Linked DNA regions of Macaca fascicularis. The protein of the gene in region 3 interacts with the protein of the main gene of each other region in a biochemical or structural test. Links are inferred from orthologs where the notes say so. Each region holds a gene or a part of one and is shown on either strand. Other genes may lie near its edges.

The links.
Region 1: the proteins of MAGI2 (region 3) and CRHR1 form a complex in vitro, tested with the Homo sapiens proteins (2 studies listed by BioGRID and IntAct, with this or other methods). The link is inferred for Macaca fascicularis from reciprocal best matches to the Homo sapiens genes MAGI2 and CRHR1.
Region 2: the proteins of MAGI2 (region 3) and ADRB1 interact in a test that uses a peptide from one of them, tested with the Homo sapiens proteins (4 studies listed by IntAct, with this or other methods). The link is inferred for Macaca fascicularis from reciprocal best matches to the Homo sapiens genes MAGI2 and ADRB1.

The regions. Positions count from the first base shown.
Region 1 is NC_088390.1:67,417,308-67,426,513, reverse strand, and holds the end of CRHR1 (corticotropin-releasing factor receptor 1), read right to left. Parts: intron 9,026-9,206; coding exon 8,939-9,025; intron 8,509-8,938; coding exon 8,388-8,508; intron 8,180-8,387; coding exon 8,026-8,179; intron 7,714-8,025; coding exon 7,653-7,713; intron 5,455-7,652; coding exon 5,382-5,454; intron 5,132-5,381; coding exon 5,046-5,131; intron 4,872-5,045; coding exon 4,736-4,871; intron 4,579-4,735; coding exon 4,537-4,578; intron 3,959-4,536; coding exon 3,818-3,958; coding exon of another isoform or gene 3,769-3,817; 3' UTR 2,742-3,768; downstream 1-2,741.
Region 2 is NC_088383.1:123,083,145-123,093,145, forward strand, and holds ADRB1 (beta-1 adrenergic receptor), read left to right. Parts: upstream 1-4,704; 5' UTR 4,705-4,965; coding exon 4,966-6,408; 3' UTR 6,409-7,776; downstream 7,777-10,001. UniProt on the Homo sapiens protein: Beta-adrenergic receptors mediate the catecholamine-induced activation of adenylate cyclase through the action of G proteins. This receptor binds epinephrine and norepinephrine with approximately equal affinity.
Region 3 is NC_088377.1:141,973,223-141,983,106, reverse strand, and holds the start of MAGI2 (membrane-associated guanylate kinase, WW and PDZ domain-containing protein 2), read right to left. Parts: upstream 5,514-9,884; 5' UTR 5,476-5,513; coding exon of another isoform or gene 5,392-5,475; 5' UTR 5,149-5,391; coding exon of another isoform or gene 5,140-5,148; coding exon 4,839-5,139; exon of another isoform or gene 4,667-4,838; intron 1-4,666. Other genes in the region: uncharacterized protein, read left to right, coding at 5,514-6,054, 6,864-6,925. UniProt on the Homo sapiens protein: Seems to act as a scaffold molecule at synaptic junctions by assembling neurotransmitter receptors and cell adhesion proteins. Plays a role in nerve growth factor (NGF)-induced recruitment of RAPGEF2 to late endosomes and neurite outgrowth.

The DNA.
Region 1 (9,206 bases), on a different chromosome or scaffold from region 3:
CCTTCAACCTCAGGGGAGCTACCAGGCCTCAGTTTCCCTGGCTGCAAAACAGGCGGGTTACTACCTCTGTGGGCTAGTGGAGGATTAGAAGACAAATGTTATAAGGACATTTGTGGATGGCAAAGTAATCTACAATACCCACAATGAAAGTATTAGTCTATGGATTCAAAACCCACCTCACCCGCTAACACATGGTTTTCCCAGTCTGACTCCCCTCCCAGTCCTGGTCCCAGGACAGCTGAGCCATCAGTAGCAGGGGGCTAGAGAAGGAGGCCTGGAGGTGAAGCTGAGGACCTCTGGGCAGGGGCTGTGCTGTCACACTAAGGGACGGGGAGGGGGTGGCCTGAACTGGAAAAACAGTGGGGTTTTGCCTCCACTGCTGTTCTGTGCCCATGAAGGAGGATGTCAAGGAGAAATGGGCTTAGGTGGGGGTAGCATTAGGGGACCGCAGCCTTTGGGCATGGTGTGGAGAGAAATTCTTCTAGGCATGAGGTCTTTCGGGTCTTGGAGGGTCTCCAGTGACCCTCCCCCACCACTGCAGCTTGGAGGGCCCCCAGTAGCTCCCCCAACTCTGTGTAGTCGCATGTGTGTTTTTCGGCTCATCATACCCCACTCACTCCCACAGGGGCCTCGCCACCCCAAGCCGAACCGGAGCAGAATGGCCCAGATGCCCGGCCTCAGGGACGCCTTGTCTGCGCCGAAGCCCAGAGCGCACGTCTGCCACGGGACACAGAACACTCTGGGCCTCTGGGCTGCAGGTGCTGAGGCTCAGATGTCTCTGGCTGTGCCCTGAAGCAGCCCTTCCACCCTCAGAATGGGAGGGGAGCCCCAGGCTCCATCTGCCTGCCCAGGGATTCCGCCTCCAGCTTCTCGGATGACCCCCAGACTTGTCTTGGAGCTGTCCTCTTGGTGGCCTTCCAGAGCCAGAGGCTCTGAGCTTTGTATTTTTTGGGGTACCGGGGGCCCCCCTGGGGTGGCTGCTCATCTCCCTCTCACCCAAGGCCTAGCACAGTGCTAAGCACACAGTAGGTGCCCAGAAGGTGCCTGGCAGTGAGAGCTGCCAGGAAGCCCACGCAGGAAAGCGGGGTGCGGCCAGGCTGCGCTTACGCACACTTCCTGGTCTGTACCATCCCTTCCCTGTCTCCCCCCCACCCCCACCCTCTCAGCTCCTCCACCCCTGGGGTGTGCCCCCCATCCCATCCCCGCCGGCACTGTCTCGGGAAAGCCTTGCCTTCTCATGTCTCTGCCTTCACTGGGTGAGAGGCAGATTTGGGAAAGCCGTCTCCATTGTGGCCATTAGAGACTCAGGTCACTTCTGGTCTCTCCAGGCAGCCAGGACCCTTTACTTGGCTTCTCTCCACTTCCCACAATACCCTCAAGTTGCTCTGGAAGCCTCCAGCCTGCCTCTGTCATGGTGCTCCCTGGGTCCTCCACCCCATCTCTCTACTTCAGGGCACAGAGCTTGGAGAATTGGCAGAGCAGAGTACCCCACAGGGCCTTCAAGGATATCCTTAGCTACCCCCGAGCCCAGGCCCTTCCCAGTGAAACCTGCCCTCCCTCAGCAGGTGCCGCGGGGCTCCTGGCACTGCGTTGACTTTGTCTGTTCCTGGTGTCCTGACGCTGCAAGCTCTTGTGTGCGCCTGGGTGCACAAGTGCACATGTGCATACATATGCCCCACCCATGGGCTCTCCTCCCTGGTTAGAGAGACCCAGAGACAAGGCCCGGGCTTCAGTGGGGCCCTGTGTCGAGTTCTGGTGTTCCACCCACACCCCCTGCCCCTCCAATGCAGCACACACTGGCTTCCACCCACCTGCGCGTTTCTGTGCCTGAGAACTCGCTCTGGCCCTCTGTAGCCTGATGTGGGAATGCAGAAGAGTTCATGTCCCCCTGGGAGCAGCCCTCAACCCACAGCTGATGGGAGATGGTGGATAAATACCCCAGCTCCCTCACCTGTTGGGTGGGATGAGGGAGGGCTTCCCCAGCGGAAGGGAGCTCTAGGCACCCGCAACAGTGTTGGAATGTTGGTCCTGCCCCAGAGGCCACCCAGGGCTACAAGCTCCAGCTCAGAGTTGGGGGCACTAAAGCCAGCAGGCAGGGGAGCCCAAGAGCGTGCTGCCCACATCAGAGCGGCACTGGCCAGGGCTGGGACATACCTCTCTTGCTCACAGGCTACTGTGTCCCTCTCTAGCCTCCCCGCTTTCCCCTGCCTTCCTTGCCTGGCTTTACTCCCTGTTGCCCTCTCTGTACTCCCCTTCCCTCGAGTTTGCACAAGAAACCTCAGGGTCTCAGGGATGGTCTCTTGTGGTGCCCAAGCGGAGATAGCTGCATTTCTGGCCTGTCCGGTGGCCCAGCACCCTAATTCTGCTTCCCATTCCTCAGCTCAGCTCCTGCCCAGGGCTGGGACACACTCCTGTCTCCTTTGTTCCTTCCCCTGACCCATGGTGTCCCTCCTCTGCATCCTTAACCCTGGTCCTCCTCTCCCTCTACTTGACCTCCTCACAACAAGCTGTCCCTAACTAAGGGGGCCCTGGCCAGATCCACCTGTTCCTCGAAGCCCTCCCTTCTGCCCTCACCCCTCTCCTGGCCCTCGGGGGCTCTCCTGGCACCATCCTTGCCGGGGTGAGAGTGGGGTCAGGTTTCCCAGCAACACAGCAGCCCCTGAAAGCTGGGAAATGGCTCCCACTGCTGTGAGACACCCTCTCCATCCAGCCCCCTGTGGAGTCCAGGCCTTCACAAATGCTGGTTGAAAAGATAAATATTATTATTTATACCAGCCACCCGCCTCACAGCCGATACCCTCATCTTCTAGTGCCCCCCAAAGCCCTGCTCTGGCTGTCCAGTCCCTCTGGACATGGGCAGGTCAGTGGGGGCTGTAGCCAGTCCACACCTAGAGTGTAAGCAGCATGTTGTCCCAAGAGCCACTTGGGCAGGAGCCTTCTCCTGGCTTGTTTAGCTAGTGGTCCTGCCCCAGAGGCCATCCGGGGCTACAAGCTCTGCCCCAGAGGCCGGGGCTGGGACACCCCTGGCTCTTGCTCACAGGCCACTCTGCCCCCTCCAGCCCCCTCTTCTCACAAAAGAGGAAAAGGGGCAGGAGGTGACTGGTGTGGGGTGAGGGTACTGCCTGTGGTTAAGTGAGGGGAAGCTGGCCTGGCCTGCAGGGTAGTAAGTGTTCAGGATGAAGGCAGCGAGGCAGGGCATTGCTGGTGGCAGTGCCACAGTGTCAATGAGGTTCTGGAGGCCTGGGGGGTGACTCTAGTGCTGTGGCCACACATCTGACGATGACACCTGACTTCTGTCTCCAGGGTTCCTGAGCGAGGGCCCTTGGTTCCCAGTGGTGTCGGAAGGCATCACCGAGGTCCAGAGGCGTCATCATGGTGAGTCAGAGGCTGTCACGAGTTGCCCGTGATGCCCCGGGGCAGCAAACGGCCTCCCCACAGTTGCCGAGGGCAGCCCCAGGTCCCAGTGGGCTGGACTTCTTGTGCTCTGGGAGAAGACAGCCTTGGAGGGACGCGCGTGCTGCTGTGGGTGTCTAGCAGCCCATTTCCATTCATTTCCACGTCCCTTCTCCACGGAGGACTGGGCAGGGAAGCCAGAGGCCCCGGGACTGGCCCAGTCCTGTAGATGACTTTCCACTCATGAGCTACAGTCCTGCACAGCTGCAGGGGGAGAGTGGCCCCCCAGGCTGTCAGTGCCAGCTGCTCCTGGGGGAGTGGGCATGAGACCTAACAGGTCGCGTCCACAGGCAGGGTGGTCAGGGAGCCTGGCCATCATCCCCCCAGACACAGCTCTTTGGGGGCTGCTCCATGACCTGCCAGCTCAGACTGCTGTGGACTGCTTGATGCTGTGAAAGCTGACACGGGTGGGGGAGGTGGGGATGGACATGGCGCGGGCCACTCGGGCACGGATCGAGTGCTTGTCCTGCCACCGGTGCCATCTCTTCCGGATGGCAGAGCGGACCTGTGGGCACAGGAAGGAGCATGACATCTGAGCCTGGCGCTCAGGACCCCCTCCCTCCCCTGGGTCGGCATGAGCAGCTGCTCAGGTAAGAGGCTGTGCAGGTCAGCTGAGTACACAGAAGTCCTCAGGAGGCGATGGCACTCACAGCCTTAACATGGCTGCTTTGCATATTTGCCGGAACAGGTTTCTCAAATGTCCTGGGGAAGGGGCACCCTTTTCTAACCCACGCGAAGACACCATATGGCCTTTGCCATCAAGGCTTCCTGCTCTCAACCCACACATATCCCCTGCCCAGGGCTCAGCCCTTCCTGGTTGTCACAGGCTCATCAAAGATACTGGAGCTCTGGCTTCCAGCCTGGTGCCAGCGGCCTCTGAGAGCAAAGGAGAGAGCTGTCACTGTGGGAGTGGACAGGTGGGAGGGGCCGGCCTGGGGCTCCCAGCAGCATCCCCCTAGGGACCTAGGAGGAACAGGGAGGGAGAGAGCCAGCCCTGGGAGGGGAGGAGAAGGCTCTAGACTATCGCCAGCCCCAACAGGCCTTGCAGCCCTGAGCCCCGCCGCAGGGCCCCCAGGTCCTCACCTCACTGTTGAGGAAACAGTAGAACACAGACACAAAGAAGCCCTGGGGAGGAGAGAGGAGGCGTCAAAGGTCGGTCACAGGTGTTGCCCACCCAGCCTCTGGGCTGCCCCTTGCTTCTCCCTGGCCTCCTACCCTCCAGGCATCTGCTTGGGAGAATCCCCACCCAAGGAGGTGCCAGTGTGCCCCTCCAGGGCTGTACCTGGAAGGATTCCAGGAAGGAGTTGAAGTAGATGAAGACGACCCGGGAGACCTCATCCTCCCCGGGATTGACGAAGAACAGCATGTAGGTGATGCCCAGGAGGGGCAGCAGCACCAGAGTGGCTTTCACAGCCTTCCTGGGGTGGGGCAGGTGGGGAGGCTTGGAGTCACAGCCCACCCCAGGACTGGCTGCCCGCTGGCTCAGCAGAGGGCCAGGTCGGGGGAGGGAGTGGCAGGTCTCTGGCACGTGAGAGGCATGGGGAGCAGGGGTTTCATCAGGGGGAGGCCTGGGGGAGGTGGTACCCGGTTACCTGTACTGAATGGTCTCAGACGTGGTGGATGCCCGGAGCTTGGTCATGAGGATGCGGACGATATTGAAAAGGAAGATGAAATTGATCTGCAATTTGAGCACACCAGCAGGCTGGAGTGTGCAAGAGGCTGGGGACCCAGGCTTCTCAGTTCTGGCCTCTCTGGCCTCAGTGCTCCTGCTGTTCTCCCTCCTCCTCAGGAGCAGCTGCACATCCCTGGCCCATGCCCCCTCCTTGGGTGGCCCCCACCTCTAGGCAGAGGGGTCCTTTCTGTCCACGGTTGGCATTGATCGCCCCTCCCCACTGGGCCCTGTCTCCTGCCCCTACCCAGGGTCTTACCAGCAGGACCAGGATCATGGGGCCCTGGTAGATATAGTCGGTGTACACCCCAGGCCTTTTGCCAAACCAGCACCTAGAAGGCCACAGAGGAAAGGGGAGGAGTCATCATCTGCATCTGCCTCGGTGGCATGGGGAGGGACAGTGCTTGGCCAGGATAGGACTGGGGCTGGAAGCCAGGAGGTAGATGTCCCAATTCCAACCCTGGCAGAAGGTCAAGTCACTTGATCCCACTGCCAAGCCTCAGTTGTCCCATCTGCAGAATGGACAGCATCCTCTGTGATGAGATGCAAAGTTGGAAGCAAGCATCGGGGCAGGAGGCAGACAGTGGGAAAGACTGCGTGGCCGGGAATGGGCGTGAGCTCAATACGCAAGCTGCATCCTTGGCTCCTCCTCACGGTCCCCTGGCTGTGGCTGAGGCCCAGCATGTCCTCTGGGGGGCTGCTGGTGGGAGTGGTACCACACGTGTCACCCAGTGGGCACCCAGCAGTTCTCAATCTCAGCCTGAACCTGTCCAATCGCAGCCCGAACGACCTTGAGAGGAACATCTGCACAGGTTCTACCTGCTGCAGGGGGTAATTGCTTTGCATTTTCCTGAGTGTCCCTCCAGCAAGCTCCAGGGAGGCCTGGGGAGTGGGTGGGGACCAGACAAACTGGAAGCCCTTATGTCCCCGTGGGTAAGAAGACCCCCAGTGGCTAGATCTCATAAGCCAGAAATTGAGATTTGTATACGAAACCTTTGGATTTTTTAAAGCTTGGCTACAAAATCGAGTTTCCAGAAAACACCCTGCCGGCCACACACAGCTTCTGTGGGCTGGGTCCAGTCCTTGAGCCTCTGGTCTGCAAGTTCGTTTCTGCTTTCTCACACCCAGATCCCCTCTGTTGCAGTGTTGAATTTTCACCACCAGGTGGGGCTTCAGAGCCGCTCAGACTCACTTTCTCCTTTAGCCCAAACAGTTTTTGTTTTGCTTTGTTTTTTGAGGCTTGTGGAGTCTTGCTCTGTTGCCCAGGCTGGAGAGCAGTGGCACGATCTTGGCTCACTGCAACCTCTGCCTCCTGGGTTCAAGAGAGTCTCTTGCCTCAGCCTTCCCAAGTAGCTGGCACTACAGGTGCGCACCACCACACCCAGCTAATTTTTGTATTTTTTTTTAATAGATATGGGGTTTCACCATGTTGGCCAGCCTGGTCTCAAACTCCTGACCTCAAGTGATCCACCCGCCTCGGCCTCCCAAGGCCTCAGCTAGCCTGAGTCAGGAGAGAGTCAACCTCCTAAACACGCAAGATAATCTTCCAGGCTCCTTCGTCAGCCCAATGAAGCCATGCAGGCCCCCTCCCCTCCGTGGGGTGAGGAGAGGGCTTGTCACTGTGGTGGAGGCCACTTGGACGCCAGGTCAGTCAGTCAGATAGGTTCCTGGGAACACCTGTTTGGCAAACAAGGTCCTGGGGCTCCCCTGCCATCCACGTCCACCTTTTCTGCCCCCCCCTCTCTCAGTGGTTCTCAATCTTAGCTGCACATTAGAATCACCTGGGCAGTTTTCAAGAATTCTGGGTGCCAGGCCACACCCCAGACTAATTACACCTGACTCTCTGGCGGTGAAGCCTGGGCACTGGTACTTTTCGAAGCATCCCAGGTGATTCTAATGTGAGCCAAGGCTGAGCACCACTGCAGCAGAAATCAAGTTTCCAGGCACGACTGGAAACACCTGAGTCCGTTTCATAAGGAACCAAAGAACTTCAGAGCTGGAAGAAGCCTCTGGGATCATCTAGGTCCACTTCTGTTAAATTCACGGACTCTTCTATTAAGATGTCTTAATATTACGAGAACACATTTATACAGCATTTGCTCTATGTGCCAGGTCCGATTCTAAATGCTTAATATAGATGGACTGATATCACCCCACAACAGCCCTTTGAGGAAGTATGTCCATTTTATAGATGAGGAAACTGAGGCACGCTGCAGTAATCCGTCCAAGGTCACACAGCTATTTAATGACGGAGCCACGATTCTGAACCTGGGCAGTCTGGCTCCAGGCTGCTTCCTGTGTAAGCTCAAGGCAGATAAAGGAGGCTGGATCCTGTTTGTCCAGTCCCACCCAGGCAGAGCACAGGCAGGGACCCTCTGAATGAGTCCAACCCCCCAGATCCCTCCCTTTACAGATGCAGAAGCCATGGTCCTGAGGGGAAAGCCAGCATGGCCCAAGGCCCTTGGGAGTGTCACCAAGCTAGGCTGGGAGCCTAAACCTTGGGGGCAGGAAGGGAAAGGAGGTGACTTACTTCTCATTGTCGTAGTACAGCTTCCCAATGGCCCAGGCCACAATGATGGGGAAGGGCACACCTGGGGGAGAGATGGGCTGTCACAGAGCCCTCAGCGGGGGCTGGGGAATGTGGGCCTGGAGGACCCCAGTGCAGCCCAGGCTCCAGGCGGTCTAGGGTTACCCAGGGTGGATCTCAAACTCACACACCTCCTTCAAGGTGCTCCTGCTGCCCCCCACCCCCAAGAGGAGCAGAGGGCTATGGCACACACCCCACTGCCCCAACCCGACCTCCATCCCTCAGGCCCCCCAGCCCTCTGGCCTGAGTCTGGGTGAGGAGACGGCAGCACGGTGGCTGCCACTGCCCAGGCTGGGGAGGTGGCTGCCCAGCTCACCCCAGCCGATGCAGATGAACATCCACTTGCGCAGCCGGTCGGTGGAGTAGGTGAGCACGATGGCTGTGTGCAGGTAGCAGCCCTCACCGAACATCCAGAAGAAGTTGGTCACATGGAAGTAGTTGTAGGCGGCGGTCACCAACCTGCACCAGACCTGCCACCCCACCCCCAACCAAAGATGATGATGAGGGGCAGGGGTGGCACCAAACCCTGGCCCTGGGCCTCCCCCAGGCAGGACGGGGCACACCCTGGGATCCCACTCCTGTTCTGTGGGCTCCTCCTCTGCAGGGCAGGCCCACCTGGGCCCCTTCTCTGACGTGGGTTTGGCCTGACCTGCTCCCCGCTCCCCCGCCAGGACGCACCACGTTGCTCTGGTGGACCTCAGGGCTCATGGTTAGCTGCACCACGAACCAGGTGGCGTTGCGCAGGATGAAGGCGGAGATGAGGTTCCAGTGGATGATGTTTCGCAGGCACCGGATGCTCCTGGTGCAGCAGGGCAGGTGGATGATGGGAGCGACAGGAGAGAGAGGATAAGGGGCAGGCCACCCACATCACCCCAACCCAGATGTGTAGATGAGGAAACTGAGGCACAGGGTAGGGCTGACTGGCCAAGTCACACAGGGAAGTGACAGCAAGGCTCTCCTAATGCCCCATGGAGCCCTTCCTGCCTGCAACCCACCCAGACAAAAGCCCCAGGCTCTGCCTGGCACTCCATGGACCAGGGCAGCTGGCTTCCTGGGGATGCCTGCTTCCCCTGGGGGTGCCTTCCACTCCCTGCCATTCCAGGATGGACAGTCACAGGGGTCAGCCTTGCTCCCAGCCTCCAGCCCTGATGCTCGGCTCCTGATCCCAACCATCCCCATCCCTGGCTCTGCCACCTGCATCCTTGGCGGTAGTGCTGGGGCCCATGTACTTTCGAACCTGAAATGGGTCACCACTCCATGGAGCCCCCACCTCCAGGGCACCATCTGCCTGGTCACCCCAATGGGTGCAGCCCGTCCTGGGTGTGGGTGACATAAAACAAGCTTTGTCCCTCCCCACCATTCCAGCAGCTACTGCGGAGGGGGCAAAGCGGCCCTGCCAGAGGTTCCCGGAGACCTGAGACTCTCAGATAAGCCAGGCCCTACCACCCTCTCCCAGCAACCCCCACCCCGACCTCGAGCTGCTCCTCTCACTTCTCC
Region 2 (10,001 bases), on a different chromosome or scaffold from region 3:
AATGGCTGGATATGTAGATATGGTATCATAAACAAAGGCCAAGGAAAAAGACTATTCACCTGGGTCATTTAGGAAGAATAGGTAGTACTTTTTTGGGGGGGGGGGCGGGGTTAGGGTCTCACTCTGTCACCGAGGCTGGAGTGCAGTGGCACAACCATGTTTCACTGCAGCCTCAACCTCCTGGGCTCAAGTGATCCTCCTGACTCAGCCTCCCAGAGTGTTGGGATTACAGACGTGAGCCACTGAGCCTGGCCAGGTAGTGTTTTTTATGGAGGTGGACTTGCATGGCTCCTTTGGAAAATCTCTTACCTATGTCTCACTTTATTTACTACTGAATAGGTATGATATACATTTATCTCATGAGCCTACCTTGCTTTTGTATTTTGAAATGTTTATGTGAAAATATTGACTAGGTGATAAGCAATGGATTGTTGCTGTAAATTGTAAGCAAGAATGAAGACTGTAACTCCTAAAACACTCAAGTATGTCTCATGTGTATAAAAATGAGAATATTTTAATAAGTTAAATATACATGTATGAATCAAAGCTAAATGGTCATTAATATCAAGTAAATATCAGTAAACATGGGAGATATAAAATGTATGAGACAGTTCTGGCTCTCAGTGAGTTTACAATCTATAAGAGAAGAAAAGGGGAAAACATAAAAATTAAATAAGATAACAATATAAGAAGTATCAAAAGGCAACCTATTGTAAATTGCCACCTGAAATGAAATTGGCAGAGTCACTCCTATAGGTCAGAGGAAGGAGAGATCATTTTCAGAAGCAGTGGGCAGGGAAGATAGAGTCCAGCCAGATCTCCAAGGCTGAATTCACCGGGAAGGAGGAGGGGGTTTTGGTGGAGGGAACCCAGTGAGGAAGTATAGATGTATAAAAGGAAGGAGTATGGATCCACAAAAGGAAAAAGAATACAGAAATGCAAGTTATGGGGATAAGGAGAGTTCTAGTATGAAATAGGGCTGGAAAGGCCATTTGGAATCGGACCGAGGAGAGCTATAAATGTCAAATTAAAGAGGTAAGATTGCTGAACAGAAAAGCATCTTGGTCGAAACAGCATTTTGGAAATAATCCTTTGGCTATGGTACGCCAGATTAAATGGAGCAGGGAGGACCAGAGGCAGGGAGATCAAATGGAACCCATGCCAACTCCCGGCGTGGGGTGAAGGTGGTGGGATGGGAAAGGAAGAAGTCGAGGCAGGAACTCCGTGGAAGAAGTGCACGACCTCTCAAGTGTGCTGATCAGCCTTCATTGTTGGAGCTTTCTGTCATTTTCCAAAGCATTGTGAAATATACAGGTTTTTAGAACTGACTCACTTTAACAGTTGCAAGTGAAGAATGAAGAAATGAAGGAGTTTTATTCAACTTACAATATCCGATACCTGTAAAAGTTGATATGTTGAACCTTTTCTTCTTGATCTTACCTAAGAACAAAAAGTGTTAGGCTAAAAATAAAGTTAAAAAAAAAAAAAAACACCAATCATAAAATGTAGGAATTAAAGGAGTTCTGAGAACATTTTATTTTTATTAGACAACCAACTCTAGTTGAACATGAACTATTCCAAACTCTTCTGTCAGTAAAATTGAAGGAAATCCCCAAGAATTCTCGAGATCCCTGTGTTGGTACTCCTGGTTTCGAGTGTTTATAATGTAATGTATTATACAGAAATTCAGAGAAACTTGATATATCTCTGAATGAGCAGGGAAAAAAAGTTTCAAGAAAGTTTTCCAACAATTCCAATGTCACGGTGTGTTTATATATATAATGGTGATATGACAAAGTTACTGGCATCTGGCTTCTGCCCTGAACCTCTACGACCAAGTTCTGGCCTTATCGCACACAGAAAAGCAATGCCTTCCACCCTTCGGGGGCATTTAAGGTTGGCACACTCTATTCCGGTAACACCACTTGACAGAAAGATGGCGAGGAAAAGCCTCTTCCCCACATTCCCTATGCCTCACCCTGCAGCTCAGCACTCAGAACTCCTTTCCTGGGCAGCGTCAATTTCAACTTCTTCCAATCCCTTGGCTATTTTGAGACTGCCCCTTGTGGGTCCAGAAGGAAGCCAGGAGGCCAGGCATGGTGGCTCCTGCCTCTAATCCCAGCACTTTGGGAGGCCAACGCGGGTGGATCACCTGAGCTCAGGAGTTCGAGACCAGCCTGAGATGGTAAAACCCCGTCTCCACTAAAAATACAAAATTAGCCATGTGTGGCGGCACGTGCCTGTACTCCCAGCTACTTGACAGGCTGAGGCAGGAGAATCACTTGAACCCGGGAGGCTGAGGTTGCAGTGAGCCAAGATCACGCCACTGTACTCCAGCCTGGGCAACAAGAGTGAAACTCTGTCTCAAAAAAAAAATAAAAAGAAAGAAGCCAGGAGTCTCAAGCTTGCAGTAACTTGGATAACTTGGGGTGTAGTCTCCTTCCTCCCCTCTTTCTTTTTTTTTTTTTATCTTTTTTTTGAGACGGAGTCTCGCTCTGTCACCCAGGCTGGAGTGCAGTGGCCAGATCTCAGCTCACTGCAAGCTCCGCCTCCCGGGTTCACGCCATTCTCCTGCCTCAGCCTCCCGAGTAGCTGGGACTACAGGCGCCTGCCACCTCGCCCGGCTAAGTTTTTGTATTTTTAGTAGAGACGGGGTTTCACTGTGTTAGCCAGGATGGTCTCCATCTCCTGACCTCGTGATCCACCCGTCTCGGCCTCCCAAAGTGCTGGGATTACAGGCTTGAGCCACCGCGCCCGGCCTCCTCCCCTCTTTCTAACTCCTCTTGTTTCCTGGCCACCCCTCCTCAACCTCCCCAAGTTGCAAAATCAGCTGATAAGCCATGGGCAGGAGTGAATAAACAAATCACTCCCCAGTTTTAACGCGCTGATGATCAAGTTTGGGCCTAAAGCAAATTCATATGTTTGCATTTATGTAAGAGAAAGTGGTTAAAACTGCTTGATTTTATATAAACTTGAAAAACATTACTTTTTGCTTTTGACCTGGACAGCTGTGGAAGTCGGTCTTTCCTTGCAAGGTAAGGATATGAGCTTAGTCATACTGACGACCAACATCAAGGAACATGTTGATGTTCATTACAGACACTGTTCTTATTCCAATGCTAGAAGGACCGGTGAGCATTATATAACATTTTCATGCACCCTTACATAAACAATTAGAAGCTGTTTACTTCTCAAGGACTCAATTAAATTTTTTTTATTTTTTTATTTTTTTTTATTTCAGGCCTGAGCTGAGGACACTACAAGAGCCAAATTAGAGAAGGGGCTTGCAGTCCTGCCATATTGCGTATTCATGGCTTTCCCGTCCCCCCACCCCCAATATAATCCTTTTAAGCCAGGTTAACAACTCACTAATTTCAAAGCGATTCATTTGCCAACTCAAAAAGCACAGATACAACTTTAAATGCTTTCGGATTTTAATCCTCTGGAGTATTTATATGTTTTCTTGTCTTATCCCTCCAAAACTAATGTCAGAGTTTTGAGAATCTGGGAACTTGGGCAAAGGAGAAAACAAGCACGCAGACCAAGGAATCTGAAATCGCAGTTCATGACGTCAGCATAAACCGACAGTACCTTTTTGTTTGTATTGACCCAGCTCAAATTATAAAATCACATGAGTAATAAAACACAAAATACAGGTGTTGTCACTGAAAAGCCTAAAATGTAACTAAACGCGTTTTCCCCCCTCGCGGTGGTATCATTTACTCTGTATCTCAACGTTTCTGTCTCCCTAAGACTCTCCCTTTATATCGTGAGCACACATTTTTGCATCATGCTCACACATTCATTAGCTAGGACTGAGGAGTGTGTACGATTCCAGCGGGCCCTCAGCGTTAGCTGTTAGATGCACAAACCTTCACTTCCTTTCCACATCTACTGCACTTGAGGTTCAACAGAGGATCCTTGCAAGAACAGCGCCCAGAGAGCATTCTTGACAGATGCGCGCTTAGCTCCAGCAACCCGCTCTGCTGGGAAGTTTCTTCTAACCACTAACACCCACCTCCAATCCCCCAAGCTGTCACGACGCAGGCTGGCTGGGTCCCGTCTTGACGGGGGAAGGGTTTTACACACATCCTGCTAGGCTGCCCCACATCACAACCAAGCTCGCAGGGCAAACTCCTCCAAGCCTGGCGGACAAGCTGTCCCAGGCGCTCTGGCGCTTCCTGAACACCAAGGTCCCCTCCGCGCTCAAGGGAGCTAGCGCACTGTTACGCAGGGAACCCCGGCACTGCAGGTCGAGGGGATGCCGAGGGAGCGGGGGCGCAGCAGGCAGCCGACTGCTGTAGGCAAACGGCGCGCAGGAGGCAAACGAGGCGCAGGAGCCGGTGCGAGAGCGAGTGGGCGCTGAGAGAGGGGGCGGGGCCCCAGGGGGGAGGCGAGCGCGGGAGGGGGCACGGGAGAACAGGGACCAGGAACCAGCGGGCGCAGGAAGGGGTGCGTCCGCAAGAACCCGCGGGCGCACGGGAGGCACTAGCTCCACGATCAGCTCGGGACTCTCAGGAGCCGCTCAATTGCCAACGGGAGGGGAGTGCGGGGAGTTGGAGGTTGGGGGGGCTGACCAGACGGGGGCGTGCCTTTGCCCGGATTGGCTGCAGGAGGCTGACGCGAGGCCCCGGGGGTTGGCTTGGGGAGTGGGAGCGGGGTGGGGTGGGTGCTGGGTGCCGGAGCTGCGGGCCCGGCGCGCTCAGAAACATGCTGAGGTCCCGGCGGCTCTTCCAGCAGCGGCAGCGGCTCCAGCAGCAGCGGCGGCGGCGGCGGCGGCGGCAGCGACAGCGCTCGGCTCCGGCGGGAAAGGCGCCCGGCGCCCATGCCTCCGGCCCCGGGCCGCGGCTGCCCTGACCCGGCCGCGACCTCCCTCTGCGCACCCCGCCGTCCAGGCTTCTGGGGTGTTCCCCAACCAAGGCCCAGCCCTGCCACACCCCCCGCCTCCGGCCTCCGCAACTCGGCATGGGCGCGGGGGCGCTCGTCCTGGGCGCCTCCGAGCCCGGTAACCTGTCGTCGGCCGCACCGCTCCCCGACGGCGTGGCCACCGCGGCGCGGCTGCTGGTGCCCGCGTCGCCGCCCGCCTCGTTGCTGCCTCCCGCCAGCGAAGGCCCCGAGCCGCTGTCGCAGCAGTGGACGGCGGGCATGGGTCTGCTGATGGCGCTCATCGTGCTGCTCATCGTGGCGGGCAACGTGCTGGTGATCGTGGCCATCGCCAAGACGCCGCGGCTGCAGACGCTCACCAACCTCTTCATCATGTCCCTGGCCAGCGCCGACCTGGTCATGGGGCTGCTGGTGGTGCCGTTCGGGGCCACCATCGTGGTGTGGGGCCGCTGGGAGTACGGCTCCTTCTTCTGCGAGCTGTGGACCTCGGTGGACGTGCTGTGCGTGACGGCCAGCATCGAGACCCTGTGTGTCATCGCCCTGGACCGCTACCTCGCCATCACCTCGCCCTTCCGCTACCAGAGCCTGCTGACGCGCGCGCGGGCGCGGGGCCTCGTGTGCACCGTGTGGGCCATCTCAGCCCTGGTGTCCTTCCTGCCCATCCTCATGCATTGGTGGCGGGCGGAGAGCGACGAGGCGCGCCGCTGCTACAACGACCCCAAGTGCTGCGATTTCGTCACCAACCGGGCCTACGCCATCGCCTCGTCCGTGGTCTCCTTCTACGTGCCCCTGTGCATCATGGCCTTCGTGTACCTGCGGGTGTTCCGCGAGGCCCAGAAGCAGGTGAAGAAGATCGACAGCTGCGAGCGCCGTTTCCTCGGCGGCCCCGCGCGGCCGCCCTCGCCCTCGCCCTCGCCCTCGCCCTCGCCGGTCCCCGCGCCGCCGCCCGGACCCCCGCGCCCCGCCGCCGCCGCTGCCACCACCGCCCCGCTGGTCAACGGACGTGCGGGTAAGCGGCGGCCCTCGCGCCTCGTGGCCCTGCGCGAGCAGAAGGCGCTCAAGACGCTGGGCATCATCATGGGCGTGTTCACGCTCTGTTGGCTGCCCTTCTTCCTGGCCAACGTGGTGAAGGCCTTCCACCGCGAGCTGGTGCCCGACCGCCTCTTCGTCTTCTTCAACTGGCTGGGCTACGCCAACTCGGCCTTCAACCCCATCATCTACTGCCGCAGCCCCGACTTCCGCAACGCCTTCCAGCGACTGCTCTGCTGCGCGCGCAGGGCTGCCCGCCGGCGCCACGCGGCCCACGGAGACCGGCCGCGCGCCTCGGGCTGTCTGGCCCGGCCCGGACCCCCGCCGTCGCCCGGGGCCGCCTCGGACGACGACGACGACGATGTCGTCGGGGCCACGCAGCCCGCGCGCCTGCTGGAGCCCTGGGCCGGCTGCAACGGCGGGGCGGCGGCGGACAGCGACTCGAGCCTGGACGAGCCGTGCCGCCCCGGATTCGCCTCGGAGTCCAAGGTGTAGGGCCCGGCGCCGGGCGAGGACGCCGGGCACCCGGGGAGGAGGAGAGCCCGGGCGCCCCGGAACGACTTCCCGGGGGAACGAGGAGATCTGTGTTTACTCAAGACCGAAAGCAGGTGAACTCGAAGCCCACAATCCTCGTCTGAATCATCCGAGGCAAACAGAAAAGCCACGGACCATTGCACAAAAAGGAAAGTTTGGGGAGGGATGGGAGAGTGGCTTGCTGATGTTCCTTGGTTTTTTTTCTTTCTTTCTTCCTTTTTTTTTTTTTTTTTTTTTTCTGTTTGTGGTCCGGCCTTCTTTTGTATGTGCGTGTGATGCATCTTTAGATTTTTTTTCCCCCACGTTGGTTTTTGACACTCTCTGCGAGGACCGGAGTGGAAGTTGGGTGGGTTACGGGAAGGAAGAAGCATTAGGAGGGGATTAAAATCGATCAGCGTGGCTCCTATCCCTTTCCCAGGAACAGGAGCAGTCTACCAGCCAGAGGGAGGAGAATGACAGTTTGTCAAGACGTATTTTCTTTTGCTTTCCAGATAAATTTCATTTTAATTTCTAAGTAATGAGTTCTGCTGTCATGAAAGCAAAGAGAAAGGATGGAGGCAAAAAAAAAAAAATTCACGTTTCAAGAAATGTTAAGCTCTTCTTGGAACAAGCCCCACCTTGCTTTCCTTGTGTAGGGCAAACCGGCCGTCCCCCGCGCGCCTGGGTGGTCAGGCTGAGGGATTTCTACCTCACACTGTGCGTTTGCACAGCAGATAGAACGACTTGTTTATATTAAACAGCTTATTTATGTATCAATATTAGTTGGAAGGACCAGGCGCAGAGCCTCTCTCTGTGACATGTGACTCTGTCAATTGAAGACAGGACATTAGAGAGAGAGAAACAGTTCAGATTACTGCACATGTGGATAAAAACAAAAACAACAAAAAAAAGGAGTGGTTCAAAATGCCATTTTTGCACAGTGTTAGGAATTACAAAGTCCACAGGAGATGTTACTTGCACAAAAAGAAATTAAATATTTTTTAAAGGGGGAGGGGCTGGGCAGATCTTAAAAACTAAAATAAAATTCAAACTCTACTTCTGTTGTCTAGTATGTTATTGAGCTAATGATTTATTGGGGAAAATACCTTTTTATACTCCTTTATCATGGTACTGTAACTGTATCCATATTATAAATATAATTATCTTAAGGATTTTTTATTTTTTTTTTTTATGTCCAAGTGCCCACGTGAATTTGCTGGTGAAAGTTAGCACTTGTGTGTGAACTCTACTTCCTCTTGTGTGTTTTACCAAGTATTTATACTCTGGTGCAACTAACTACTGTGTGAGGAATTGGTCCATGTGCAATAAATACCAATGAAGCACAATCAAGATTATGTACTGTGTGTCTGTAAAGGGTCAGTGATAATGAAAAAGACAGTTTGTTTTGTTCAAAATATAGACTGGATTTCCCATAGAGCTCTTTTAATAGACTTTCATGACTCAATAACATAGCAAAATGCCTCCAGACCTAAATAAGGTGTTTACCTACTGAGAGCTGCAGATTTGTCCTAAATTTTCACAGCCAGATTCAAGGTATTCTAGACTACTTGTAGGCACTTTCAAGATCCCATCTGCTGCACTTGACTTAAGAAGTGACATTTGGGATTGCGTATCTCCTAAAAAAAAAAACAAAAAGTGATGCGGTCATTTAACTCAGCTGCAACTTTTCATGGAAATGCAGGAAAGACTAACTCATTGAATGATCAGTTGCCTACTTGGAATGCAATAAGTGGCTTCCACAGCTTATTTTTGTTTTCCAATAGAAAATCACAGCCTGCAGATGATCAGTGTGTGCAGATTTCTCCAGAGGCTGTTTAGAATGAAAAATGCTTTCATGGTTAAGCAAAAATGTATAAAAGGACTTCTGAAGTAAATGTTTTTTCTCTTATGTAGTTAAATAAATCATTTTGCCAGAAGTTCTGGGTGGACAGATCATAGATAAAAGCAAGTGTGAAGGGATTTAAGTTTCTAACAAAATTACGGCACCCGAAGGATGGGGTATTTTTCATAAAGTTATTTCCTAAAGGAAAGGATAGTGCAAATCTGTTCTGAGATTAATTTTACTTTCTCCAAAATATATTTAAAGTACTTACTATATTTTTAAATAAGCTTTTTATTTCATGACCGTACAGTAAATAAGCCAAAGTAAAGAATATTAACTTCTGGCTTCTGCTACACTTTAAATGAGCAGAGTATTCTCTAACAAGGAAAAGTTGAGACTGAACATTCTTTTTTGCAACGGCATACTCTAAAGACAAGGCAACCTTCTTCTGAGAAAGGTTAGTGACGTAGATGTTTTAGAGACCAGCGGAAGGTTGCATGAACGGTAACAGCCTCAACAAAAGCTGCTATGAAGTTTAACCCCTTTCCAGCAAAAAGTAAATAAATAAATAAAAAGGAAAAAGGAGAGCTTCTTTAAGAATACAAAGATAAATACTTAAAGAAACATGTTTTGAAGAATGTAAAATCAGTCTCAGGATGAAATGTCACTGTAATTTCCCTAGGAACCAAATATGGTTAATTTCTATCCACCCCCGACCATGAGTACATAAGATGCATTTTCTTAGGGGTTTTGTCCTTCTTTGTTTGAAATACTAAACACAGAAGTACCAGGTAAATGCTTCATTTTCTTGGTTTCCTATTTATTTGCTTATTTTGTCTCGATGTCTTCACATTTAAATAAAAAAAATCTTCCCAGCCCAAAACATATATGCAGGCCTGTCAAATCTCAGGTCTTAAAATCACTCAGGTCTTAAAATCATGAAAGTCCTTTAAGCTTTAAGAACAAATGTGTATAATTTAACTACTTAGTACACAGGTTTAGTCACTTTAGTGAGTTAGAGGAAACCACTATAATCTTGGGGCCGGTGTCTATGTATTGGCAGGAAATAGAAAAGATTTTTGTGTGATCTCCTAAGCTCTCCAACTGAGAATTACATGGATTCAGAAACAGACCATGTCAGTGATTCCAAATCCCCATGAAGACTACTTTTTGTCTCTTTTGAAGAAGGCAGCCATTGATTTATAATAGGAAATGTGGGGAAGCTGGGCTGTCAGTCCCAGTAGTGATGGTAGTGGGAGGAGAAAGCAGCCAGTCCTGCTTAATCTGGTGAGAATGTGAACTGCAGAAACAGGAAGAGGGCATTGAGTGTGCATAAGGGCAGCCTTACCCATAGGCTTGTATGTATCAATGTACCAAAAGCATAAACCTTAAAATCAAAGCAGGAAAATCTGATCAAGATTCATAATTTGCTACATTGGAAGTTACATTCAGGTTGAACACTAACAAGAACTCAATGGAGATTTTCCAGGATATATAAATTCTCTCTTCGACGTAGAAATGTGTAATTGGTATAGCATATGGCTTCATCCTTTGGTGAACTTGCCTATATAAAACTTTGCAAATAGAGTTTATTTATTTGTTTCTTAGTCTATGCTTTCTTTGGAATTGGAATTATTAGTAACTCTTAAGTGGCTATTGTGAAATCTTTCCTTGTTAAGCACATTTTCCTAGCTTATTTTAATTTCACATTTTGTTGAATGTGCTGACTTCC
Region 3 (9,884 bases):
TACTATGTAAAAATAAACTATGTCTAAAGTATAAAATAAATACAAAATAGCAGATGTTTACATGGAAAGGCAGGATCAGTGGGAGTTATTTTTAAAAGGTGAAAATATGTTCCATTGTATTTATCGATATTATCCTTCAAATAAATTCTTTTCAAATAAAATATTTATTTCATTATGCATAAAAACCTTAAAATACAACTTGCAAATTACTCTGTATTAGTCAATCATTTCATATTTTTCAGTTAATGTGAATTGAGTAAAATATCTTGAAAATTAAAAACACCTCATAATGTCACTAGCTCAAAATGACCAATATGTTTGCAATAGCATTTACTAAAATCTACATAATGCTTGTCACCTGCCAGACACTATACGATTTAAATACATAACTTATCTAATATTCTTAAGGTACCATTACTACCCCAGGTTAGTTATCTTGTTCATACAGCTAGCACTAACTGACATACTCAGGAATCAAAACTAGGTGGTCTACTTAGGAGAGTGTACCTTTAACCATTGCTCTACCCCACCTTCTGAGGAAAATGATTCTGCCAGGGTCTGCTATATATTTGAAAATCATTACTTAAACTATAATCAATCAGAGATGTCAAGTGTGAATATGCTTTTCTCATTATGAAAGTGAATTTGTGAGTTACAAGCAATGAAAAGGAAAGTGAGCATAATAAACGTGCCAAAAGATTAAACAGTTCAAATGTCAAGAACAGAGATAGTACAGATAAAAAGCAAATAATCATATTTAACATTTGAGGTCATACCATTTAAGTTATCTACACCTACCAAAAAACTACATTGAAATCACTTATAAATTATGCTCCAAGAGAACTGTCTCATTAACCTTGTTAAAAACATTAATGGTACTTTATTTGTAAAATAATAAACTCATCAAAATGTTTAAACAATGTTATTGTTTATTAAACAATACTATTCATATATCTCACATTTTTATGGAAAAAAGTCAATCTTTACAGAAAATTTGACATAATTTGTTTTTACCTTTTCAATACAAAGAAGTATAGAGATTTGACTCTATTATTTTAGCCTGAAGTCAGTCAAGAAGAAAGTATGACTCTTAATAAATGTGGATCTACTTTCCTTTGAAGGTATCTTTGAAAGGAGCAGTAGGAGGGAGAGCAATGTAGATCTTCTCTAAAACTGAATTTCAAAGGATTTATTTGGCCCATCTTCCACATGGGAAGAATTAGATTTTTTTTTTTTTTTTTTTTTTTTGCCTTTTATTTCCCATTGTGAGATCCTAAATGGGAAAATAAGTCCAGGTTATGTAGGTCTTTATGCGGTATTACAGGCATTAGCAGCCATAGTGCAAGGAATGTAGGACACAAAGGCCTGTGTAACTGGCTGCTGTGAACTTTAGTGGCAAACCTTAAAAAAGGGAAAAGAAAAAGGAAAGAAGACCTTTAGCACTTCCATATAGATCTCAACATCACTCAAAAAACTTTCTTCAACTGGGTCTGATGCATTAATGAGATCATAGAATTACTGCTAATTTAGCATTACATCCTTTGGTGCAGAAAGTTTATTATTATAAATAAAATGCCATCATTCATAAAAAGTAATTGGGTGTGACAATAAGCCATATTTTAATATGTGGTTTATTACTGTGTGGATTAAAAGCAGAAAGCTTAAATTAAAAAGAGAATTCCTTGAATTTAATTAAACAGTTTTAAAAATTGTTTTGCAGGTATTTAAACAGTGTAGAAACACTATGATATATATATATATACTATGTAATATGTCTTAAAATCCCAACAACTCACCTCCTTTTAAAATTATGACAGATTAAAATTATGATAACTGTAATGTAAAATTAGGCAAACAAGTGAATAAAAATTGAGTAAATAATGCGATTTTACCTGGTGCACTTAGTAACAATATTCTTATTATTCAAATATTATCTTTTCTTTATAAAATCTTCCTTAAACTATGATATGCATGTAGTTTCTGTATAATACCCAATGTTAGAATGAATATTCAAAAATCAATCTCATTAATGTTTTAAAAATGCAACTGCTAAACAAACATGGTTAAGTTTTTCAGCTATGCTAGTTTTTTGCCTCTCTCAAAATATAACTACTGGGCCAAGAATTTCTAAATGATTTTCCAGTAAAAGACATCTGTATTGAAACCTAAGACACACAGGCACTATAGTAAAGCTTCTGAAATTTTCATTTTATAATCATAAATAAAATTAATCTATGATTTAACAAGGAAAAGATTAGAATAGCAATATGAATCATATTTAAAAGAAAGTACAAGAGAATTACTTAGTCCACACAAGGTAAAAGGAACTTTGTTTTGTTTTTTGTCAATAGTGATTCAGGAGATGAATCGGGTTCCTATGGGTTTCTGTGAATATCATTATACAAATTTATCATCAATGAACCAGTGAAGCACGAAACAGGGTTAATATAGAATGAAAAGAGAGTTTCTCCTCAATATATCACTTTATAAGCATATATTCTAGTTTTAAAAGCAATAATCTTCCACATAAAATTCAATACAAGAGTGATCACAGACCACATTAGATCGAATTATGGCAGGATTCAAATAATATCGAATCCAGGTCCTCATCTTATATAGGAATCCGTGGCATATGATCATTTCAGCTTCTTCATGGATACCCACAATGACGGGAACTTCATCACAGGGTGCTCACGAATTGTTGGAAAACTCTGTTAGAAAGCTCATGATTTAATCAAAGTAAAGCGGCTTCATCCTTTAAAATTTCTCATAGATTTATCACCATTTTGTCCTGTGGGCTATCACAGGATAGTCAGAATTCCTTTTCTTACCTGATAGCTTTTCGCTATTTAATGATAGCTTTTATTCTCACTTCTCCAAGTTAAGTCTTTCCACTGCGTTTCATAGAATACATCTATAATACACAATAATCTTTCTTTCTCTTTTGAATTTACTCTTTGCTAATGTGAGTTTGCCAACATCCTCCTCAACCAGGCGTGCTCAGAATTGAACACAACATTTAAGATGTGGTGATCATTGCAAACCATAATAGGGCATCCCTTTGTAGGACTCTATTAAGTCCAATTTAATAACACTTAACTTTTGCAGCCATGTTCCACGACAAATACCAAGCATTTGGCCAACAAAACGATGCTCATTAGTTGCATAGTGGACTTTTTGTACCCAAAGATCTTAACATTTATATCTATTCCTATAAGGTATTATTTTCACGTCGAACATGTTAACATGAAGCTTTGTATTTGAACCTTAGGTATCTTATCTTCAAAAATATCAAGATACTCTATTTTCTTTTCTACCAAACTCATATCCCTTCAGTGTTGTATAGTATGGAGCTACCTTGACTTATAATAGCTATCTCAATTAATTAATACTCTTAATACTCAAGAATCCCCAAGAAAAACATTTTCTTGTATGGCAATTTACATTTGAGAAATTTTGTCCAAGACTCCTTTTTCTCTTGTTTACTTTAAAACAAGTTTTTTAGAGAATAATTTTACAGTGCAGTACATCTCCGTAAGAGCGTTTCTTGGTAGTTGATCACGATTAAGTGGCAAAATGCAGGTAATGACATGCTCAATTCCACCTTTGAGTCAGGACAAACAGTGTAACATCGACGACAACAACAACAACAAACCCTTAGGCTGATATGCCTGTGCCACAAATATCCATACATACCGCACATGAATTGTGCAGTGAGGGAAAGAAAAAAAAAAAAGCTACTACTTTATTCTACTTAAAGTTGTCCTCTATTGAAACTTTTATCTCACTCTTCTCTCCTTCTGCACCATAATTTTCTTTCAAGCAAAGACAGAGAGTTCTGGATGATTCCAGTCTCTCCAAATCTACATCACAGCCTCCAATCGAGGTTCTTTAAAGTCAGGTTGGAGCTGAGGGAGCCTGGGCTGGAACCAGCAAGGGTTTCATCCAGCTCCTCCTCCAAAACACGCCCCCCAAATCGGAGCCAGAGGAGAGCCCAACCACAGAGAACTTCCACTCTATGAGGGCAACCTCTGAGTAAAGTCCTGCCTACAACCATTCATCTCCTCCGACCCCCGCCCAGCACTAGACCGCGCTCCTAGCACCGCGCCTTCTTCCGGAGCCTCCTCCGCTGGGCTGGCTAGGGGTGAGCGCAGGGGTTAGTCAGTGCGCACGTGACGCGCGATGCCCACATGACAAGACCGTGGGCGGGGGAGGGGGACAGCGGAGCGAAGAAGGGGAAAAGTTACAGAAGACCCGTCAAATCGCCCAAAGCAATTTGTCCCTTCCCTTCCTCGCCAGCAGTGGCTCACGGATCCCTAAGGGACAGCTGGGAACCCAGGCGTCTCCAGCCCAGCCCCAGAAACGCTGGACGCAGTTCTCCGCTCACCCCACCACCCTCTCTTCCCAGACCCGCTGGTGATGCCGCTGCACCCTAAAGTTGCTCCTTCCTTCTTTCTCTCCCTTCCTCCCTTTCCTTGTTTCTTTCTTTCCTTCCTTCATTCCCCAAAAGCTCTTCATCCACTTAGGGTGATGCCACTGACGCACATTCAATTTGCCCCAGGATCTCTGAGGAGGTCAGACCAGGCCGAGCACCTTCCAAAGGGGAGGGTCTAACTGAGCAAACAAAGTTGCACGCCACACCGCAACCTGCCCCTCCCCTCCCTTTAGCCCCCAAGTGGAATCCCCGGCGAAACTCACTTGCACTGCGGGTCCCCTCTGGCCCCTACCCCATCATCGCGCAACACACCCCTTTCAACATGCGCGCCCACCCTTTCATTGCCCTGCGCCCCGAGCGGTCCCACCGCCCGGCAAAACACTGAGCAAGCCGCTGCGCTCACCTTGCTTGACACACTTGAGCCGGAGGGGGTCCTTGCAGTGTTTGATCACGGCCAGCACGTCCCTGATGGTGAGCCCCGCCACGGGGGTCTCGTTCACCTCCAGCAGCAGCTCCTCCGACACCAACTTGCTGCCGCTCTCATAGGCCACCTTTCCGGGCTTCACCTCCCCCAGGTAGGGGAACTGTCCATTCTCGGCGCCCCCCTTCAGTTCAAAGCCCAGCTGGCCCTCCGGGTTCCTGCCAATGACACTCTCATGGACTTTGCTAGTCCAGTGGCTTTTCTTTTTCAAGCTTTTGGACATGGCAGTGGGGTGAGTCGCCTCAGTTCCTGGGGCTCCTTGGGGTTAGGGGGGTTGGTGGTGAGAGAATGAGGATGGAGGAGCAAGGGGGCCCAGGGGGAAGAACAGCAGACTTTGCCTTCTCCCCCCTCTATTCGGTGCTTTCCCTCTTCTTTGGATGGAGTGTGGACGAGGAAGGGGGAGGATGAGAGGGACGGCTGGGCAGAGGTAGGAGAGCTTGGGTGAGGTTGTGCTGTCCCTTGAATGACACTCAAGGCTGTGGCCCCGCAGCAGAGGAAGCGGTGGTGGTGGCGTCGGCGGCGGCGGCGGCGGCAGCGGGAGCTAGCAGTAACCGAGCTGGTGAGCGGGTGCGGTGGGGGTTGGGAAGGAGGGTAGGGATGCCGGGGGCCACTCCTGCGTGGTGCGAGTGGGAACGCGCGCGCGCGCCTGGGTGTGTGTTGTTAGCTGATATCCATGGCAGCTGCAGTGGCAGGGTGCGTGTGCGTGTGTGTGTGTGTGTACTAGTTGTACTGTACTGGCATAGGGGAGGAGGCAGGGGAGGAGGGGCGCGCGCGCCGGGTGGGGAGCCAGGGAGGGCTTCGCCGCTGCCTCCCTCCCTCCCTCCGCAGCTTGACCCGGTAGTGAAGGCAGAGAGAGAGGCAGGCTGGGTCCGCCTGGCAGCCTACGGGAGGAGGCGGGAGCCGGGAAGGAGGGGAGCCGAGGCCCGGCGTGGGGAGGCCGGCAGGAAGGGCCTCGAGCCAGTGCGGACCTTTCTTCAGCCTCTGTGCCGCCGAGCCGCGCGCCAGGCTGCTGTGCGAGGAGGACGCGCTGACTTCCTCCGACCTGGGCTCCTATGGAGCAGAACTAGCGGGACCTGGACTTTGGCGCTCTTGGTGCCACATCTCGGGCTCTGCGAGCCTCCTGGCGTGGGATCCTGCCGTGAGAAGGAACTGGGGCGGGGGACCCAGCGGGGCATTGCGGGAGAAGGCCTGGGAGCCCTGGGAGACTTGTGGCCTGGGGGAGTTCACTGTGTAGAGAGGTTTCATGTCTTCCTCTATACAGTCACTTATTTGTCTCAAAGTTCTCGAAATTCCCTCTTAGAGAAGGAGAAAGTTAGAGAACTGGAGGCTGCGTACCCTGATTGCGCAGAGGGGAAGCAGCCTCGCGTTCCCCCGGGCAGGCCCCCTCCCGCGCGTCCCGCCAGTAGGGGAATTTCGCGGAGGGTTGCGGTAGTCTAGTGAAAGGCTATCCAAGGGTAAGGGGCTTCGCTTTTCCCAAGCAGGGGAAACAGAAAGGGTCTACAGGGCTAGGGGTGGAGGTAACGGATGCAATGAGCAGCCTCCGCAGAGAAAATGGACAATTTAACTAGGGACCTGCGGCCGAGAGAAGGCAGAGGCGCTCCCCTGCCCATGAAAGCCACCAGAGTCGGCTTGTACCTGGGGAAGAAACCTTAAGACGATCTGGCCCAACACTCCTTTAGTCACAGAGAAAGGGGAGAAGGCTCCCGAGAGTGAAAATGGCACAGTCGGAGCTGGAACTCAGCTCGATGACCCCAACCAGTGTTCCCTTCTTTTCGCCAGGTTTGCATCCAGGAGAGGGGAGGATAGGGGCAAAAAAGGATGCAGGGAGGCTGCTGATTTCCACAGGAGAGCTATTTTCTGTGAGACATTAACAGTGATTTTTTTTTTTTAATTCCTGTAACTGGTAAATGAATTTCATTTGCTTAACTTTTAAATGATATGTTTCAGACAAAAAAAAAGTTGCACACCCACTTATCTCTTTAAGGCAGAGGATGAAAAGCACTGAACAGGTAGGATTCTTAATGTCTGAGATGAAGGTGATGTCGGAGGCAAACAGTACAGTTAAAAATGTTGAGTCGACACAAACAGAAACACCAGATTTCAATCCAAACTCTACTGCTTACTGAGAATGTGATCTTGAGTAAACTGACTTTCCTGAGCCTCAGCTTTCTTAGTTGTTAAGTGGACTTTAAAAATACTAATCTGTTAAGACTGTGATGAGAATGAAATCAGGGAAAGCAGGCACAGCAGTGCTCTCCTGGCACAGGTGAGTAGGCGTTCGAAATGATAATTCCCTTCCTCTTTCCCTCAGGTATAACTTACTACTTGGGGATGAGGGGGATCAAATGTAGTCAGAACTGGAAGAGATCTTAAAGATGATTTGTTTAACCTTGTGTCTTTTTTCACTTGAGAAAACAGATCCTCCATAAGTTGGCTGCACTAGTGAAGCTTATTCAGTAAGCCAGGGGCAGTGCCAGGATCTGAAGCCAGATCTGCAAGCAATGCCCAGGAGTAGGCAAGACTTGATAGCAAAGCCTAATCTCACCCAGAGAAGTTGAGTGTTAGCATTATGAGGCATAGTTCTAAATAGAAACTCATTATGAGAACCGAATATTTATATTGTAAAACCAAATGACAAGCTACCATTCATGGAAGATACTAATATTTATTAGGTTCTAACTACATGCTAGATGTTGTTCTATAGGCTTTACACATAATACTTCATTTCTCCTGACATTTTGATAAAGTAGGTACTGTTATCTCCTTTTACAGGTAAGGAAACTGAGGTATACAAGGATGAACTTTTGCAAGGCTACAAATCTAGTTAATGGTGAAGGTAACATTCAGACCCAAGTGGTTCAGCTCTAGACTTTGTCTCAGTTACTGAATTGAACTCTCTGTTCGCTTACCATGTGTCATACCAGCTCTCAGTATGTAGTGTCCCAAAAGATTGGGCCTGCGCTTTCTTTCAGGGGGCAATTAGGAAAAAAGTAAACAAATGGAGCAGGATTTGGGCATAACAGCATGCTTCTCCCATCCCCCAAATCCCAGACGTGTCACTGGGGTGTGTGCCAGTTAATTTAGCACTCTTCAACTTCACAGCCACCCTTCTTTGCCCTAAATTGTGACATTAGAGTTGAAATCTGTAAACGTCTTTATGGTCAGTTGGCACAATGTTTAGGTTTGTCAATAGAAGGTGCTAAGGAAACACTGCAGAAAGAAAGGGGCTCCTTTTCTTGGTTCCAGTGCTTTCCTGCTTGCTCCTACCGTGTGGTGGCCAGTGAGTGACTTTCTGACCAGTGGTGTGCAGGAAGGCCATGTTACATAATCTTCAGTAAATTTGGCCAGTTCCCTAGTGTGTGTCTTTCTATGGAGTGCTGCTGGCATGTCAGTGGAATGGCTTCCTAGCAAGTTTTACTGAAAACACAGCTGATGGTTTCCTCAGCAGCCCAGTGTGTGACACCTTAAATTTCTGGATCATTAAGTGGACCACAGCCATATTATTTCCAATGAGGTCCTACTCTCAGGCTTAGTAGGGTGGCGGGTGGGTAGGGGGAAGTTCTTCTTAGTTATTCTCTCTTTGGGTACTCTCCTGTAGCCTGACAGATAGTGACTATTCCCAACAATCACTATTGCTGTGTTCTTTAGTGGGCTTTTTTCCTCTCCTAATAGTTAACACGCTTTGACTGGATCTTGATTGATAAAAGTTGAACCCTGAGGAAAGCACTATCCTTGGAGTCAGAAATTGGGATCAGACTATATTTTTTCTCTCTATTTTGGTATTCCTCACATTCACTTTATTTACCCTTTTTGGATTTTATGCTATGTCAAGAAAAAATTATTTCATCACTAAGCACTCCAAGTGTAGAGCAGAACGCTAAATATTGCATACTATTCTAGAAGAAAAATAGTTTAGGAATCCTAAAAGCCAAAGAAAGAAAGATATGAATGCATTCAGTTCTTAGAAGAGTTCTATGGGATAGATGCTTGTGGCAGACATGGTCTCCACCCAAATCTCCTAGGATCCCTTTGGTTGAACTGAGTATCCTTCCTCTAGCTTCTGCATTCTTTTGCTTCTTGCAGGCTTCCCCGAGACTCTCTTTGGAGGAATGCCCAAACACTACTAGACCCACTTTGTCTACTGACTCAGAGAGCCAGACAAAACCACCTGCAAGTTTACTTCTTTCCCAAGATGCCCTTTGCCAAGGACTTTCCTATAGAGTATAAAAGACCAGCCCTCTTGCCTCTAGTAGCAAGAAAACCTGAGGTGTAATTTACACTCTGAGACTCCCCTGTAGAATTATATTGATGTTAGGATTTTGCCTGAAACCTCCTTCCCTATCTTGCTTACTGTGGTACATGATTAGTTTTTCCCGATAGCATTTCTATAATAAATCACTTGCAGAAACAATCTTCATCTCAGAGTTTGATCCTGGGGATCCTGACTTAAGACATTACTATTCTTTCTTTGTTTCTTTTTTTTTTTTTTCTTTTACAGATGAGGAAACTGAGGATCAGGGCTTTTAAATTGCCGCAAATCACACTACCAATAGGAGGTAGAGTTGTGGTACCTTTTTTAGAGGGACCATTATTTTGCTGACTACAGTACTGTAGGGCACACAGTGTCTTATCCACACTGTTTCTGAGTCCAGTCTGTCAATATCAGTACTCCACGATTATTGTGTTTGTTTTTCTTTCTCCCTTTTATCTCAAAAATCTCTATTGTGATGCAAGAGACCTTTCTGAAACCTCTCCTTTTTTCTGTGTTTAAAACCGCCCAGTGCCGCCCAATAAATACACAGCAAAGTCCAAACTCCTTATCCTCCTTGGATCCTCCTTCCCACACTTTTTAACTGTTCAGCCATATTTCTGCATGTACTCTGAGACTGGAATCCAGGGCAACAAAGCTAATGTGGGTTCTCCAAGATGAACACAAATGAAAGGAGGCCCCTTTATGCCATCTATTCT